3 linked regions of the Arabidopsis thaliana genome follow. The protein of the gene in region 2 interacts with the protein of the main gene of each other region in a pairwise test. Each region holds a gene or a part of one and is shown on either strand. Other genes may lie near its edges.

The links.
Region 1: the proteins of PAB2 (region 2) and CID7 interact in a two-hybrid assay, tested with the Arabidopsis thaliana proteins (2 studies listed by BioGRID).
Region 3: the proteins of PAB2 (region 2) and ERD15 interact in a two-hybrid assay, tested with the Arabidopsis thaliana proteins (2 studies listed by BioGRID).

The regions. Positions count from the first base shown.
Region 1 is NC_003071.7:11,187,176-11,192,957, forward strand, and holds CID7 (CTC-interacting domain 7), read right to left. Parts: upstream 4,223-5,782; 5' UTR 4,062-4,222; exon of another isoform or gene 3,921-4,061; intron 3,610-3,920; 5' UTR 3,554-3,609; intron 3,446-3,553; 5' UTR 3,405-3,445; coding exon 2,631-3,404; intron 2,550-2,630; coding exon 2,111-2,549; coding exon of another isoform or gene 2,076-2,110; exon of another isoform or gene 1,973-2,075; coding exon 1,902-1,972; coding exon of another isoform or gene 1,896-1,901; exon of another isoform or gene 1,531-1,895; coding exon 1,406-1,530; coding exon of another isoform or gene 1,330-1,405; exon of another isoform or gene 1,263-1,329; coding exon 968-1,262; 3' UTR 551-967; downstream 1-550. Other genes in the region: AT2G26270 (BRCT domain DNA repair protein), read left to right, coding at 1-61, 266-484; ARSK1 (root-specific kinase 1), read right to left, coding at 5,062-5,528, 5,614-5,737.
Region 2 is NC_003075.7:16,334,611-16,340,833, reverse strand, and holds PAB2 (poly(A) binding protein 2), read right to left. Parts: upstream 4,544-6,223; 5' UTR 4,103-4,543; coding exon 3,835-4,102; intron 3,602-3,834; coding exon 3,483-3,601; intron 3,296-3,482; coding exon 2,639-3,295; intron 2,550-2,638; coding exon 2,472-2,549; intron 2,397-2,471; coding exon 2,307-2,396; intron 2,040-2,306; coding exon 1,902-2,039; intron 1,668-1,901; coding exon 1,497-1,667; intron 1,395-1,496; coding exon 1,245-1,394; intron 1,161-1,244; coding exon 942-1,160; 3' UTR 520-941; downstream 1-519. Other genes in the region: CER9 (RING/U-box superfamily protein), read right to left, coding at 5,970-6,223. UniProt on the Arabidopsis thaliana protein: Binds the poly(A) tail of mRNA. Appears to be an important mediator of the multiple roles of the poly(A) tail in mRNA biogenesis, stability and translation. In the cytoplasm, affects both translation and mRNA decay.
Region 3 is NC_003071.7:17,267,432-17,271,092, forward strand, and holds ERD15 (dehydration-induced protein (ERD15)), read left to right. Parts: upstream 1-1,726; 5' UTR 1,727-1,971; exon of another isoform or gene 1,972-2,288; 5' UTR 2,289-2,304; coding exon 2,305-2,644; coding exon of another isoform or gene 2,645-2,667; exon of another isoform or gene 2,668-2,731; coding exon 2,732-2,883; 3' UTR 2,884-3,111; downstream 3,112-3,661. Other genes in the region: WIH2 (proline-rich family protein), read right to left, coding at 47-251, 397-442. UniProt on the Arabidopsis thaliana protein: Central component of stress responses that interacts with poly(A)-binding proteins. Negative regulator of abscisic acid (ABA) responses, including resistance to drought and freezing as well as stomatal closure regulation.

The sequences.
Region 1 (5,782 bases), on a different chromosome or scaffold from region 2:
TTTCAGTGATAGTGGTTTCACTTGCCTGCAAATCTTAGACTATATCTACAGATTTTACCAGGTATAACCATCATATTCGAATGGCCAATTTCTCGTTTCAGTTCCTTTTAGTTGCTATGAAAAGGAGAGTCTTTAGAATCAATTTCTTCGTCTTAGTTAGGAACTTATGAGTGATTAGTATTTATACTATCTCTGTTGACTCACTAGGCCCATGTTACCGTTTAGTTCACAATAAGAAGATCTCTTGTGTCTATTGATTCTGCAGGAGAACTTGCCGGATCATGAAATAGAAGTTGCAATTCACACAGACTCGAGGCACGCTGACCGTCTCAGAACAGTGTATTGCAGCAAAGAGACATCAGATGAAGGATGCTTGGTTTTCCCAAGAATAGAGTTATTAGGAAGCAGGAAAAGTTTCGAAATGCTTAAGCGAGTGAATGGAGAGAACAACAGTAATGTTTATGAGCTTATGATTAGAGCTTGATTTCTCTTTTACAATACATAACTGGAAACAAGCTTTTTAAAGTACAAAATTTTACTTTTTGACTCATGAATTTGTAACTTAGTGATGCACATTAAATCTAAGAGAATTACAAATATAAGCATTTCCAGAAGAAAGGAGTATAACATATAGAGTAAAACTGTAAAAAAAAAAAAGCACCGAGAATCAACAAAACATCGTATAGATCCCGACAAAAAGATAGAAAGAGGTCTGATCGATCCTCTGATGCTACAAAAAGTATTAACTGAACAAACCTAAACATTTTATGCATACGCCTTCGTTCCTTCCTTCTTGCGGATCTCTTTCCTAACACTTTTTTTTTTCCTTCTTCATTTTCAGCTAGTCTCTTTCTCCTCTCTTCCCATGTACAGATCAGATACAACAAATGAATAGCGTGGTCACCTTTCCTTTTTTTTGTTTTCTTTTCCGGTCTTGTATCCTATATAAGTACCTGGCTTTTGTCTGTCAGTATATGATGACTCTAAGGAGACCGGCCTGTGGTTCGGAATAGTCAAGACCTTCTTCTTCGAGTAGGTAGCGCTGTACAGCAACTGGGAGTCTAGCCGGAGTGCGGGAACCCCTTGTGTGGTGGCCTGTCCCTACACATATGTAAATCTGAAGCCTCTCTTGCGTTGCTCGAGCTGTGCTCCTCAACACACTCAGTTCGTGCTTCAACACCTGAAGTGCTTCACTCACATGTAACCCATGCAAGTCTATCATTCTCTCATTCCCTCTACTGTTTCCTTGACCCACTGGGTTCCTGTTTCATTTTTTACTCATAGGCAGGTTAGAACAGAGATACTGAGAACAGGAGTTTTGTTTTTCATTTATGGAGATATCAGTGTGTGTTTCGGATAAAAGATCATGTTACAAGGAGATGCAGTGCAGGTAAAGAAGTCAAACCTCTGGCGGTAAATGGCTTCTTGAGCTTTCCCATGAGCAGCCTTCATTTGCATATTATGCAACTGTCCCTTAACACTTAGCTCTTTGGCTAAGGCCTTATTCCCAACAAGGTATGCTTGTCGTGCCTACGCTCAACCAGAAGCAACATAGAATATTGAGCGTACATGACTAAGACAGAAAGATAACAGGTTAATAAGATGACGTCGAAGTAATAAAACCGGTGAAAACCCCATCATTGACAAAAAGCTTTATAAACTATCATCATAAATTGCACGCAAGATTCCAAATACTTATGATTCACTACGCCATACACCCGAAGTATTTTCCAAAAATCAATCTGGACAATAGACCTCAAGGTTAGGCCACATTACACGGCCTTAACATTAATAGACAGGTATGTACCAAATGGAACTTCCCAGTTGCAAAAAACAACAGGTCTGCAGAACAACTAGAGGCCACATAAATGAGTAAAATGTCATTTCCAAGTATATTATACCTGTTCAAAGTACACATTCCGCAAACGTGCATAGTCACGTGCTTCCTCGCGTAACTCAGAATACATATTGCCTGTTCATCCCCAGATAAAAGAGAGAGCCAGAAATGCAACATCGTCGAATAAGATAACATATGTTCAATACAGATGTATAACAAGACTCATATAGTTATTTGTCTATGCAATAAAGTTTGTTAAAAGAAGAAACTTACCAACAGCATCCCCGGTCTCCACCCAAACAGGAGCAGGTCGAGTTTGGGCTCGACTTTGCAGCTTATCAGAATATATACTCCTCCCACGGCCACTTTTGTAAGCACCAGAATTCCTGCTAGAGCCAATAGATGAGTCTGCTGAATCATTTCGTTCATATTTCCACATACCAGAATCCTGAGATGCTAACTTCCTGACAGCAGAAACATAATCGATTGCACCAGGCTGAGAAACCGATGGTCCCGACTTGAAGAAGAACATGTTATCCTTTTCAGGAGATTGGTAATGATTTCCAGTTTGTTGCAAATCATCCCCACCAAACTGGGCAGGAATACCATGGCTATTTGAGATGCTTAGTGCAGGAAAATCCATTGGAGTTAGACTAGGAGGAGCATAAGTCTTAGGGCTTATGTTTTGATTCAAGCCACCATCCACTTGTAGCTATACAGAGAAGAAAATAAACATAGAATTTAATAACATAACATCAATAAAAGCTATGCCATATATTGAATAGGAGAATACCTCAAGCTGAGTAAGCATCTCAATTGTCAACTGCAAATCACACCCATTAGCAAAATAAACTTCTGCTAGACTCTCAGCGGCGAATCCGGGGAACTGAGAAGCGAGAAAATCCACAGGGTTCACCTCCATATCCCCTGGACTCTCAGTAATCATGTCGTTAACAAAGCCATGTCGAGATTTCCCACTAAAAGGGTTTCTTTCCCTGTCATTCCCAAGAAGCTGCTCAGCATTCATGATTTGCTTATCCCAAGGCTTTGGACTCAGTTGCATGAAACTCTGTCGCTGAGGATCTTCCCCAAATGAAGAAATGGGATATCTACTCTTATCAGCCAAGCTATTACCATTAGCATTATGTGAAGCTAATCCAGTTTGATCTGAAAAGCCATATCCTCCACTAGCAGAAGGAAACTTCTCAGCTTCATTACCGTCAAACAACGACAAGTTAGCTAGTGACAAACTACCAGATCCATAAGAATTGTCATCTTGAGTCATCAACCCAAAATCTGGAGTTATATCATCAGGAAGTTGATGACTCCAGAACTGACGTGCTTCTTCATCTGAATGATGTGACGCAGATGATTCTGTCCTGTCCAAAACCGCTTTCCCAACAGAACTAGAAGAAGCTAAAAGTCTTGTATCCAAAGTACTTGTACCTCCAGATGAAGGAGAACGTAGAGTAAACGGAACAAACTCAGCAGCATGAGGGTTTAAAGTTGTTGGCTTGATACTAGTACCACTTAGCTTTGGTTCACTTGCTTTCTTTGTTAAACTCATTCTTACAAGACTAGTAAAAATAACTGCTTTTAAACCAAAATCTGCAAAAAAAAGAGTTTGGCTTTTCTAAGTCAAATTACTCAAAGAAGAAACCTGCAAAATACTTTGCTTTAATCAAACAAATTACTCAGAGAAGAAAGGTAACACACCTGACGGTAATAGAGATACACACGTGCGTGGACTTCTCAATTCATATTACCAAAACCTAAACAAGAAAAAGAGATACATTTTCAGTGGCTACAAACTCATAAGTCAAAACCCATTGCAGCTTTTTTATAGTTCTTACCAGACAAACACATAAAGACTTAAAATTTGAAACACAACTACTAAATTCTAGAATAAGGGTATCTTTAAATGACTGAAATAAAAGAAAACCCTTTATTAAAAACAAGATTTTTAAGTAAATCCAAGATAGAAAAAAACAGATTTGTGATTTATTAAACCACACAAAAAAGAAGAACCCAAATCAAGATGAGATTCGTAGAGATAAGAATATCTCTGAAAGAAAGAGCAAACCTTTAAGGAAATGGATCCATGGAAGATAACAAGATCAGAGGTTAAAAGAAAAAGGTAAAGGCTGCTGTTGAAAACAAGATAAAGAGAGAGAAAGATGAGAAATTTTGCAGTTTGGGGTAATCGGAGAGCTTAAGCTGTTACCTCCTAGGGATTCGAGTTTTGGGGTAAGCGTCGTCTTCTTCTACTCTCTCTATAAGAGTAATTGTTTGGGGGTGTTGTTTGGCTAAAGAGGTAACACGAGCACCACAAGATTTATTTAACAAGACACCAAACCTTGCGCCTCTCGTTTTGACCTTTTTTTTTTTTAGTGACTCCATCTATCTACAACATTTATTTATTAACTACTAATGACACTTAATCCTTATCACTAAGGGTTTTAATTGTAAATTTTTGGGCTTTGATTACTTGCTTTTATTAGGTTAACTATTTCCTTTCAACTAATTTTTTTTTTTAATAAGATTTCTCTATATATTTTGAATATCCTGAATTAGCTTATTATTTTAAAAATCTAATTAAAGTTTATACAATTATATTTATATTTAGGAAAAATAATCTTCAAACTGATTGTTATTGTTAATTTGCTTTGAATTTAAGTCATCTAGGGAAAAAAGTATACTTATTGTTGATATAGATAAAATAAATATAAAAATTTAATAATTTATTACATTTATACAGCATTCTGAAACTCAAATATACCCAAACGGTTTCATATGTAATCTTGAAAACGAGAGTGCTCCGAGGAGCTCATAATTTCATTGGAATCACCAAGAATAATCTAGGGGTAGCTGCCGTACCATACATGATTTGATTTTATTGCAATTCCAATCTCCATAATAACCAACCAAGTGATCATCTACTATGTTTTAAAGAGCGAAATAACTTCAACGTTGTCCGCCCAACAAACTGGTGTATATATATATGATTTACAAACATTTATTTTATATTTCTTGTACATGACTCTTTTGTACAAAGTATTTTTGAATTATGTAAAGGAAATTAATCTAAAATACCAGAGAACTAGGATACTTATAACATCACCTTTCTTTCCTTCAAATTTTTGGAAGAATGGTCATAACTTAAGATAAGAATTGCGTTCATAGAATATGAATGCTTAATAATTCATATGAGAAAATGATGTATTTCAAATGCCATCGTTTTGCTTTGCCTTGGATTCCTTGTAAACGAGAGAATCTGAATAAGCGATGTTCACACGTCTTTTGCCTTTACGGTGATGCCTAAACTTATTTATATCAACAAACTTCTTTCCTTCTTTGTTGTTATTGCCATCATGCTTCCTAATATCAACTTCTTGGATAGACTCTAAGACCTTAACCACCTCACACATTGTAGGTCTATACTTAGGATGTTGGCTTAGACACTTGTATGCTAGGGAAGCAGCTACCTGAGCCGCTTCTGTTTTGTGCTGGTTCGCGAGCCTCGGGTCAATTATCCTCTCTAACTTTCTTTGGTCCCTTAACATAGGCCGCGCCCATTCCACTAGGCTTTGTTCCCTCCGTGTTCGGGTATTGTCCATTGACCGTTTTCCGGTTATCAGCTCTAACAAAACTACTCCAAAACTGTATACATCATTCATCGTCGTCAAATGACCTACAACACATGTAAACCATTAAAGACATATCTCAAAGAATATCGCTTCACGGTAAAAGAAATAAATTCCTTACAAAAATGTTACCAGTCATGATATATTCGGGCGCAGCATAACCTTGTGTTCCCATCACTCGGGTAGTTACATGCGTATGTTCGCCTTCAGGTCCATCTTTGGCTAGACCGAAGTCAGATAATTTGGCGTTATAGTCCTGAAATATCAAAGAGTCAGTTGAGAAATACCACTTTAATTTGAT
Region 2 (6,223 bases):
TTAACAAGAAACCCTAATTTGAACCCTCTTTTGGTTTCAAGTGTTATTGGATTTTTATGTCGTGATTGTGAGATTGTTGAGTGTTGCCATCAGTTGAAATATCTAGAGATTTTGATAATAGTTAAACCTTTCATACACTCGAATCTTTTAAATATTTTCGAATTAGTTCACAAATATCATCAGACTCAATAAAAGATGTGTTGCTGGCTTTGCTGCATGTCAAATAGATACAAAAAAAAACAAGTAGACTATATAGTTCATGACGCAATGTACTGGAAATCAAAATTCATGTACGAATATTCTAAATCCTTGGCGTAGATGAAGACTTTCTTTTTTTTGGTAAGTAATTTCTCATTCTCAAATAGTTGCAGAAAAAGTAGTCCAAAAACCAGATCAATAACTGAAACCAAAAACAATGGTAAGATTTCAACCAAACAAGATGTGTATCATGTTTCCTTAGACCTCTACTAAGATTTCTATTCGACTAGTCCCAATCAATCTAGAAGCAAAGTGTATAAAAAGTTTAAAATGTATTTCTTTCTCATTCAAACATTGTCTGCTGAGAATGAGACCCATTCATCCATTTTTACCAGGACACCTTTTTACCATAAAATAGAGCTTGAAAAACTGGTAAAAAAAATGACTAGAAGCAACAACCACCAACAGTCAAAAGGCCAAAGAGGGGGATCACCAGCATTGGCCTTATTGGTAATCAAATTCATCTTCCGTGAACACTAGATCGAACAAGCTAGAACACGCAACTAAATCAAAAGAACAAAGCAGATAGGTTTTTCCTTTGTGGTTTAAAAACGAAGGTTTAAAATAACACAAACGCAGTTATGTGGAGGAATCCAAATTCCCAGGGAGAAAACGAATAGCAAAGAAACAACTCCAATTGTATGGGAGAGACAAAAGCCAAAGATCAAATGATAAAAAGCAATTTAAGAGAGGTTCAAGGAAGCGAGCTGCTCGGTTGCACCACCAGCAGCGACACTCCTGAGAACATCCATAGCCTCTGCAACTTTGGCCTTGAGAGCTTCTGGTGACTCCAACAGATGGAGCACTTCAGTCTGGTCCATCTCCAAAAGCATCCCAGTCACTTTGGCTGCAGACTCTGCCTCAACCTGCTCCACCAACGGGTACAGCACCTCACCCAGCATCTGTACAAACACACCCAAAGGGTCACATTATTATAATCCAAGCAAAACCAGTCTCTCTATTTGGTTTTTAAGAGATTCTCTCACCGTCCTCTGTTGCTCTGGAGTAGCATTAGACAGATTTGAAGCCAAAGCTCCAATAGTCAATGGCATGTTGTTGCCCATATCATATGGAGGCACATCACCACTACCACCACGCCCTTGGGGATACCGGAACATCCGACCCCTTGGATGCATCTAACCACCATCCAAACAGAAAAACCATACGATCAACTATTAAAAGAGAGCCAAGCAAGCAAAGCAGCCTTTATTGCAATTAAATAAGGAAAAGAGAAGAACCTGTTGCTGCATCATGGGATTTTGCTGCTGGGAGTGTTGGATTCCCCCAGGACGTCTTCCTCCTCCAGGACGCTGCTGCTGTGGCTGAACCATAGGCATGAAGAAACTGGGTACAGGACCCCCACCAGGTCTCATTCCAGGAACAAGCTGCTGTTGGTATCCATACCCAGGCTGTGGCATTGCATAAGTACAGGTTAATATTATCCCAGCAGTTTCAAAATAGATTTGGAAAGGCTCAAGTATGAGTATAGCAACTATAGAGCTAAAGAATTTAAAAACTTTTCATGTGACTTAAAAGCATCTGTCAGCTTGTAATTCATTATACCCAAGGTAGAAAATAAACATGTGCATATCTTTGTGTAAAATCGTACACGGCTACTTAAAGTAGAGTAACATGAAGATTACCTGGGGAGGAATCATGGCAGGAGGGGCCTGACCATAGAACATTTGTTGTCCAATACCAGGACCACCCGGGGGATACACTGGCATGCGGGGACCAACAGACGGCTGCATTGCAACTGGCCTCACTTGGGAAAACTGAGCCTATTCACATCAATGCAAATACTCAGCAGCAGGAGAAAAAAGAGATTTTTCTGTGATACAAAAATACTAGGACATATGTTGTTTATGCTTTATATATTGTTGCACTTGATTATAAAGAAGAATCAGCATCAGTATTGATAATTATACGCAGTGGGACATTCTAAGACTTGTACATGATGGGTCCAATTGTTTAGAGTTGAAACTCCAACAGGCAAAGTAGGAGTAGTAAGTGTATCACAAGACGAGGTGATTCCAAGAGAAGCAAACCTGTAGTCTGACCCTTCTGTCTTCCTTCCGCTGTGCAATAGCCACATAGAGTGGCTTGCTTTCGATCATTTTACCGCTCAACTGTGACATCTGTACAGTATTCCACTGTTACTAACAATCAAAGTCCTCATAAATACAATCAACAAGACGATACAACTGACTTACAGCTTCAGTTGCTTCTTCGGGAGTTGCGAAAGCAACAAAACCTGAGCCTTTGCTTGTTCCATTAGGATCCCGCATCACCTGTAATATTTAATAAAAGAACTTCTTAAATAATGAACTAGGAGAGTCAACTCACTACAAATAAAGAGAGAGAGAGAGGGACATTGAACCTTGCTAGATGTAACGGTACCAAAAGGAGAAAAGATCTCTTTAAGTTTCTCATCTGAAATGCTAGGATCCAAATTCTTAACATACAAGTTTGAACTTTGAAACTTGTCTGCAGCTTCCTTCAAATTCTGTTCATAACGGACCCTTAATTCTGTTTCCCTCTCTGACTTCTTCTGGGCTCTACCAACATACCACTCCTTATCATCAAATTTGTGCCCATTGAGAGACTCCACAGCCCTAGCAGCATCATCAGCATTTTCAAAGTTGACAAACCCAAAGCCCTTGGACTTCCCTTCTCCATCTTTCATCACGACAGCACTTGTTATCTTTCCATACTCGCCAAAAGCATTCTTCAAGTCATCATCGGTAGTACTTTCCGCGAGATTCTTCACATACACATTGGTGAATTTCGTTTTGTTAGCAGTGGAGTCTCTTTCTTGTCTCCTCAGGAAAGGACCCACATACACTTGCTTGTCATTGAGCAACATGCCGTTCAGTTTCTCTATAGCTTTCTGGGCAGATTCTTCATTGGCGTATTGCACAAACCCATAGCCTTTTGACTGGCCTGAAGAATCGACAGCTACCTTGCACGACACAATGTTTCCAAACGATGAAAAAGTATCATGCAGTGCTTTGTGGTCGATGGACTCGTCCAAATTCTGCATATTATAGCCAGGTTTAGCATCAGAAAGAGAGAAAGAACACCCAATAAAAAAACTTACATAACTAAAGAAATCAACTACTTTTGCCAGACTTTTCAATGAATAATACAAGATACAAATTTTTTCGCAACAATCATCTCGTCTTACAGCAACTCAAATGTCAGAAGGATAGAGACAAGCGTACCTTAATAAAAATGTTGCCAGCGCCACTTCGGCGAACACTAGGATCACGATGAGAATACATAACCCTAATAGGTTTTCCATAAAGAGGTATGTAATTCAGTTCTTGGATCGCTCTTGCAGCTGCAACAAAGACACGAGATAAAGTACCATTAGAAGACAGAAGTAGCATTAAAAAGATTGATTAAGCAGGGGATAAGCTTTCCAACAGCACCAACCACATTGCATACATACAAACACCATAAAGTATCAACATTTAAAACACACCTCATTCAAATCCAGTACTGGTACTATCGAGCAAACCCTAAAAATTGGAAATTGTAAGAAGAAGTCCAAATAAAATTAAGGAGACTAACCGTCTTGGGGATTGGTGAAGTTAACGTATCCATAGCCAAGAGATCGGCGAGTGACCAAATCCCTACAGACACGAACGGTGACCACAGTACCCATTTGGCCAAACGCATCGAAAAGCTGCGAGTCCGTCACATTGAAATCGAGATCCCCCACATAAAGCGACGTGTTACCAAACTGGGTCGCCGTTGCTCCACCTGACGTCGCCGGAGCAGAAGTGACCGCCGCGGTCGAACCATTCGGAGTCTGACCCTGAAGTTGAACCTGCGCCATTATCTTTTTTTGGATTTTCGAAACTTTTTTGACTTTTTTTGGGGTTTTAGTTACTCTTCCCTCCCCTCTCGTTATTAGACTGAAACCAAATCGAAAACCCTAGAATTTGAAAGAAGAAAAAGAAATCGAATCGAATGACAAAATCAACAAAACTAAAGCCAAAGTTTTTATCTTTTCGTTTTTTTTGTGTTTTTATGGGTATATCAGAGGAGAGGGAAGATGAAATAGGGTAAGAAATTGCCGGCGGCGAAGCCTGCGACGGCGAGTGAGATATTTGGGGGCCGAGAGATTCTAGGCGAAACAAGCACAATTACGATAGATGAAAAAGAAGCATTACGGTTTCTCCTTTTCTTTGCTTTTATATTATTAACCCAACAAAAAAAAGAAACCTTTAATTCCCCTAGAAGAACCCTAGGAGTGTGAGATTGATCTCAGCCGTTGGATCGAGTCTGAAGTAAATCGTAGGATTGATTTTAGAGTTGCTGGTGAATTGATAAGGTCGTCTTCCTTCTCGTCACTTTCGGAAAAGTCAAACAGATACGCGCGTGTTTGACACTTTCGAATCTAATTAGTAACCAAGTTTGTTAAAATTTTGTACAGTGATGATATTTTCTTTGATTTATCTTAACATTTCTTAACTCTGATTAGCAATATTCTCACTGGATCTTGATGAATTTTGATTTTCCTAAAGTAAAAGTTGTTAATATTAATATTTACCGCACGATTTTATATGGTATGCAAAAAGTATCTTAATTAAATAACCAATATGTTAAGATTTGACTTATCAAAACAATTCAACTTAATACACGATTGGCCTTCCAGTAGAATTGTGACACGAAAGAACATAAGATGAGAGATGAGATTTTGCAATACGCAATCATTTCAAAAAGCATTACAATAGAAAGTAGAAACACACAAGGCATATATATATACGAAGCGTCATTACTCATTTCTTAAGATCCTTTGGATATTATACACAAACAAAAGAGGATCAACGGGATACACATTGACTAGTAAATATTTCCAAGCCTAAGTTAATACGACTCAGTGCACAGTTTCTTTCTAAGCTTCTTGTTGGATTGCACGTCTGAGCCTTAAGTCCATTATCAACATCTCCCTAAAGTCCTATCAAGATACCATCTCCCGCATCCTCACTACTTTGGTTTTGCCAAAGCAGCTTCCCCAAAGTTATGGAGTCTCCGACCAATGAGATAACGGTCATCACGGATAGAGTTGTGAAGGTTTCTAAACCAGAAGCAGAAGAGGCTCACTGAGAGACAACCTATCCATGCGAATCTGTAGACCGCTGAGTTCACTACTAGCGGATATCCGAGCATTGGGAACACTCCTCTCGCCAACACATAAGGCACACATAAAGCCGTTAGGAGTTTCATCACAATCGGGAACACAATCTCTCTAAGTACCCATAACCCTTGAAGCATATGGGTCTGAGATGAACCTGATATGGACATCTATCTAATGGGGTTATAACATTCCTCTTATTTTTATTCTGTTGGAAAATAAAAAACCAAAAACAGTATCAACGAGTATGTCTACAATCACACATCGGCCAAATAGATCTTCAACGCCAATTCCTTAAGGCTTACATGCACTAACATAAGAGACAAAAGACAAGAATTTGCAGTAAGCGAAGGTATTCTAGAAGCATTATCATAGAAACACACAAGGCATATGGACAAACGAAGCATTATTCTAAAGATCTTTTAGTTTCGTACACAAAAACAAAAAAAAGAGAATCATCAACGGATATAATAATTTACACATCGACTAATAATAAATCTTTCAAAGCCATCTCTTAACGGCTTAAGTACACAAAATGTTAAACGCCTCAGTGCACAGTTTCTTTCTAAGCTTCTTGTTGGATTGCACGTCTGAGCCTAAGTCCATTATCAACATCTCCCTCTCGTCCTATCAAGACACCATCTCCTGCATCCTCACTACTTTGGTTTTGGTTTTGATTAGCTAAAGCAGCTTCCCCAAAGTTATGCAGTCTCCGACCAATGAGATAACGGTCATCACGGATAGAGTTGTGAAGGTTTCTAAACCAGACATGGCATCTTTTTGCACAGAAGCAGAAGAGGCTCACTGAAAGACAACCTA
Region 3 (3,661 bases), on a different chromosome or scaffold from region 2:
TTAGTAAAAACAGATTAAATATAATGGAGTGTGTTTATTGACTAACCATCCTTCTAGAAAGCCAGGACTGCTCTGTTGTTGCTGATGCTGCGGTGGTGGAGGATATTGAGGCGCGTACGGTGGAGGATATCCTTGCTGAGGATAACCTTGTTGAGGATATCCCTGAGGTGGATAGCCTTGCTGAGGATATCCCTGAGGAGGATATCCTTGTGGTGGATAAGCATCTTTTGGATATCCCTCCGGTGGATAACCTATTGATACAATTTCAGCACAAACAAAATTCAGATCCGTCGTACAAAAACAATAATCAGTACCAAATTAAGCAGATCTAAGAAAAAATTACAAATCTAAAAACCGAAACTTCTAAAAGTAATCGAAAATAGAAGGAAAGAGGACCTTGAGGAGGAGGAACACCAACGGGAGGTTGATTGTACTGGCTCATTGTTTCCTTTGAAGAAAAAGTGTAAACTTCGTAGAGAAGAAGGAGATCACGAACCTTAGATCGAAAAAGTTTATAGAAGCGATAGAGAAGGACAAGGAAAAGAGGAGAGTGTTTTAAGTATAACGCGTTTTGCAGTTATTTGATTTTTCTTGTTTTTATCCATAACTTTAGGCTAGCGTTCAATACGATGAATTAAAATGAAACTACCAATAAAAAAGGTTAAATTAAAACAAGATTCACGCGGTTTCTGCCTTTTGCAGCGATATTATTTCTGTTTTTTTTTTGTTTAATAGAACTTAATTAATTGGAGAACAAAGATTATTGATTGGTTGTTTATTCTGTTGTTTTTTCTAATGTTCTGTATGAAATCTAGTGATGCTTAATTTCTTTTTGTATCTTACTTCAAATTTCCTTAGAATATAGAAATTCATTTTGTTTTATCGAGTCGATTGACTTAAGACACATTACAACATATGATAAATAGATGTACACAATAGATAAAGTAAAAGTGTCTACATTCTAAACCCCACTTACCTACTTCCAATGTATACTAAAAAAGAGGAGATATTCATGTACATATATACATTTTAAGGTTTCCAATCTCTTGAAAAGGCTTGCTGAATCACATTGTGAAAGTAGCAATGGCCTGGACTTCACTACAACATTTTCCTTCCCGCCAATTACACATCGTTCTCTTTGAGCTACTTCATCTACTAGTTTTGCCACTGCTATTCTAAAACTGACCGTAAGTGGTTGATGCAAAGAAGAAAATATGATCAGTCATTCCGTTTTGCAACATAACAATGAAGCAGAAAATTATGTATGTTCATTTCGATAATCCTAGTTGTTCGACACCTTAATGATCTTGGTGTCCTTGTATAGATTACCTTAGAATTTGGTTCTTCATTGTCATTGGTTAGCTTTTCAAACTTGATGTCCTATAAAAATGCACATCTCAGACATTACGTAAATCCTAGAATCTACTTTTGGTACTTACACGATACAATACCGAAAACGTAAGTACCAAAAGTAGATTCTAGGATTAGGCCCAAAATGATGATGTAAAACAAAATCATGAGTGGGTTAGGCCCATACGGTCATAAATGGGCTTATATTGGATTAGTTTCCTCCTACCTTATCCTCTTTCCGACCAAATTTAAGATATTTTATAGAAAGAATAATAATTTAACTTTTTAGTGTGAGTAGCCAACAGGATTGGAACGAAAAAGAAAGTCAATAAAAGCCAACAGTAACGCGTCTACACGTGGACGGTTGATTACTCAGAACCATGTTAGCTATGGGTCCAGACCTACCCACTTGTGTCTCACCTTTAATCCTGCCTCGACGTTACGAACCCCAGCTTCGTCACCGAACCTTACTTTATATATTAGTCCTTCTTCTTCTCATCTTCTCGCAACGTAGGTTCTGGTGAATGATCCTAATCCGTTTAGCTTTTAAAAAAATAAGAAGACATATTTATCAACTTGATCAACTTGAGCAAGTTGCAGCAGATATTTTCCTCGGCCAAGGTAAAGATCTGATGTTGTCTTCTTCTCTACTCGATCAATTTCTATATTTGAAGTTCGTGGATTTTGAAGGATTTGATTGGTTTCCATGGTATTAGATCTCTGTGATGGTTGTTGATCTATCTTAAAACTTGATTTATCTTCAGTTCTCTCGATTTCAAACTTGTACTTGTCCTACTTCAAGTGATCTAATCGGAAACTTATTGTTGCTATGTTTACTGATCGTACAGATCTATTGATCTAAGGATTAAGCTATGTTGTGATTGAGTTGTTAGATTTGAATTTGAATTTGAACTGAGCTTGTTTGTTTGTGTGTGCAGATCTAGAGTTTTGAGAATGGCGATGGTATCAGGAAGACGATCTACTCTAAACCCCGACGCACCTCTTTTTATTCCGGCAGCTGTACGACAAGTGGAAGATTTCTCACCGGAGTGGTGGCAATTGGTGACAACTTCGACTTGGTACCCTGATTACTGGATCAGTCAGCAGCAGCAAGGCGCGGATGGTTTCTATGACAACGGAGAGAATGAGAATGGTGGAGGTCATATCGATGTAGCTGATCTTCTTCCAGAATCATTTGATTTTGATGATATGGAAGATTTCTTTGACACTGATGCTGCTGAGTTTGATCAAGGATTCGATGGAAGAATGTATTACCAAGCACCTTCCGAATTTGGTAAGTCGGTTTCATTCCCCTGATACATAGAACCATCCAAGATCAGTAGATTTGTGGAGGCTAATTGTTGTTTATATATATCATCAGGCTTTGGAAAGAATGGTGAGATGGTTAAGAAATCAAGTGGAAACAGGAGCCCGAGATCGATTGTGGAACCAGCTAAGTATGCGGAAAAGCCAGCGAAATGGGGAAACCAGAGGGTTGCTGCTGCTCCGAGAAACATCCACCAGCCTCGCTGAAGAGATATGTTGTTAACTAGTCAGAGAAGTCAGAGCAGTTCGGTCTGTGTATCTTTAGCCACCACTGTACCTTTGTAATTTTTAGTATTTGCTTCCACAACAAAAATCTGTAACTTTGTATCTTTATGATGTTCATTCTCAAACTTGCTATCACAAAAATGTAAAAACATAAAAAAAAAAAAATGTAAACTTTGAAGAGAAATGAGAACTAGAGTTTATTTCCTACCTTTGTCTGAGCAATTCTATTCAATTACCAAAAGTCTTATCCTGCATCGGTGATGGCTACCGGAAGCAGTTGCATCAATGTTGCTTTGGCTTTACGACCAAAAGAAAGCCATCGCAGAGCTCAAATATAGAAGGTTTTCACGTCTCAGCTACTGAAAATGATCAGTTCTCTAAAGACTAGAACTCTACAAGGTTGGTGGCTAAGAAAAGGATGTCGATTACATCATAATGCTAATACACGCAAAAGGTCAGGAGTGTCGAACATGTTTTAACTTGCAAACATTGCCGACGACACCAAGTTCATTTCGAGCTCGGAATTGAGATACCGAAGACATGTCCAAATTTAAACCGGACTTAGTAAATTCCCCATCAAAAATGGGGAAAATGAGACTTTTCTTTCGTTTGATGCGAAAACTCTCGTCTTGACTCTTGAAGCTTTGTTTTTTTGACTCCACAAGTCGTCGATTTGACATTCGAACAAATGATTAGTCAGACGATCAGAAACGCTCCAAAACGCAGCGCTTTGGCTAGAACAGAGCTTTAAGACACCTAT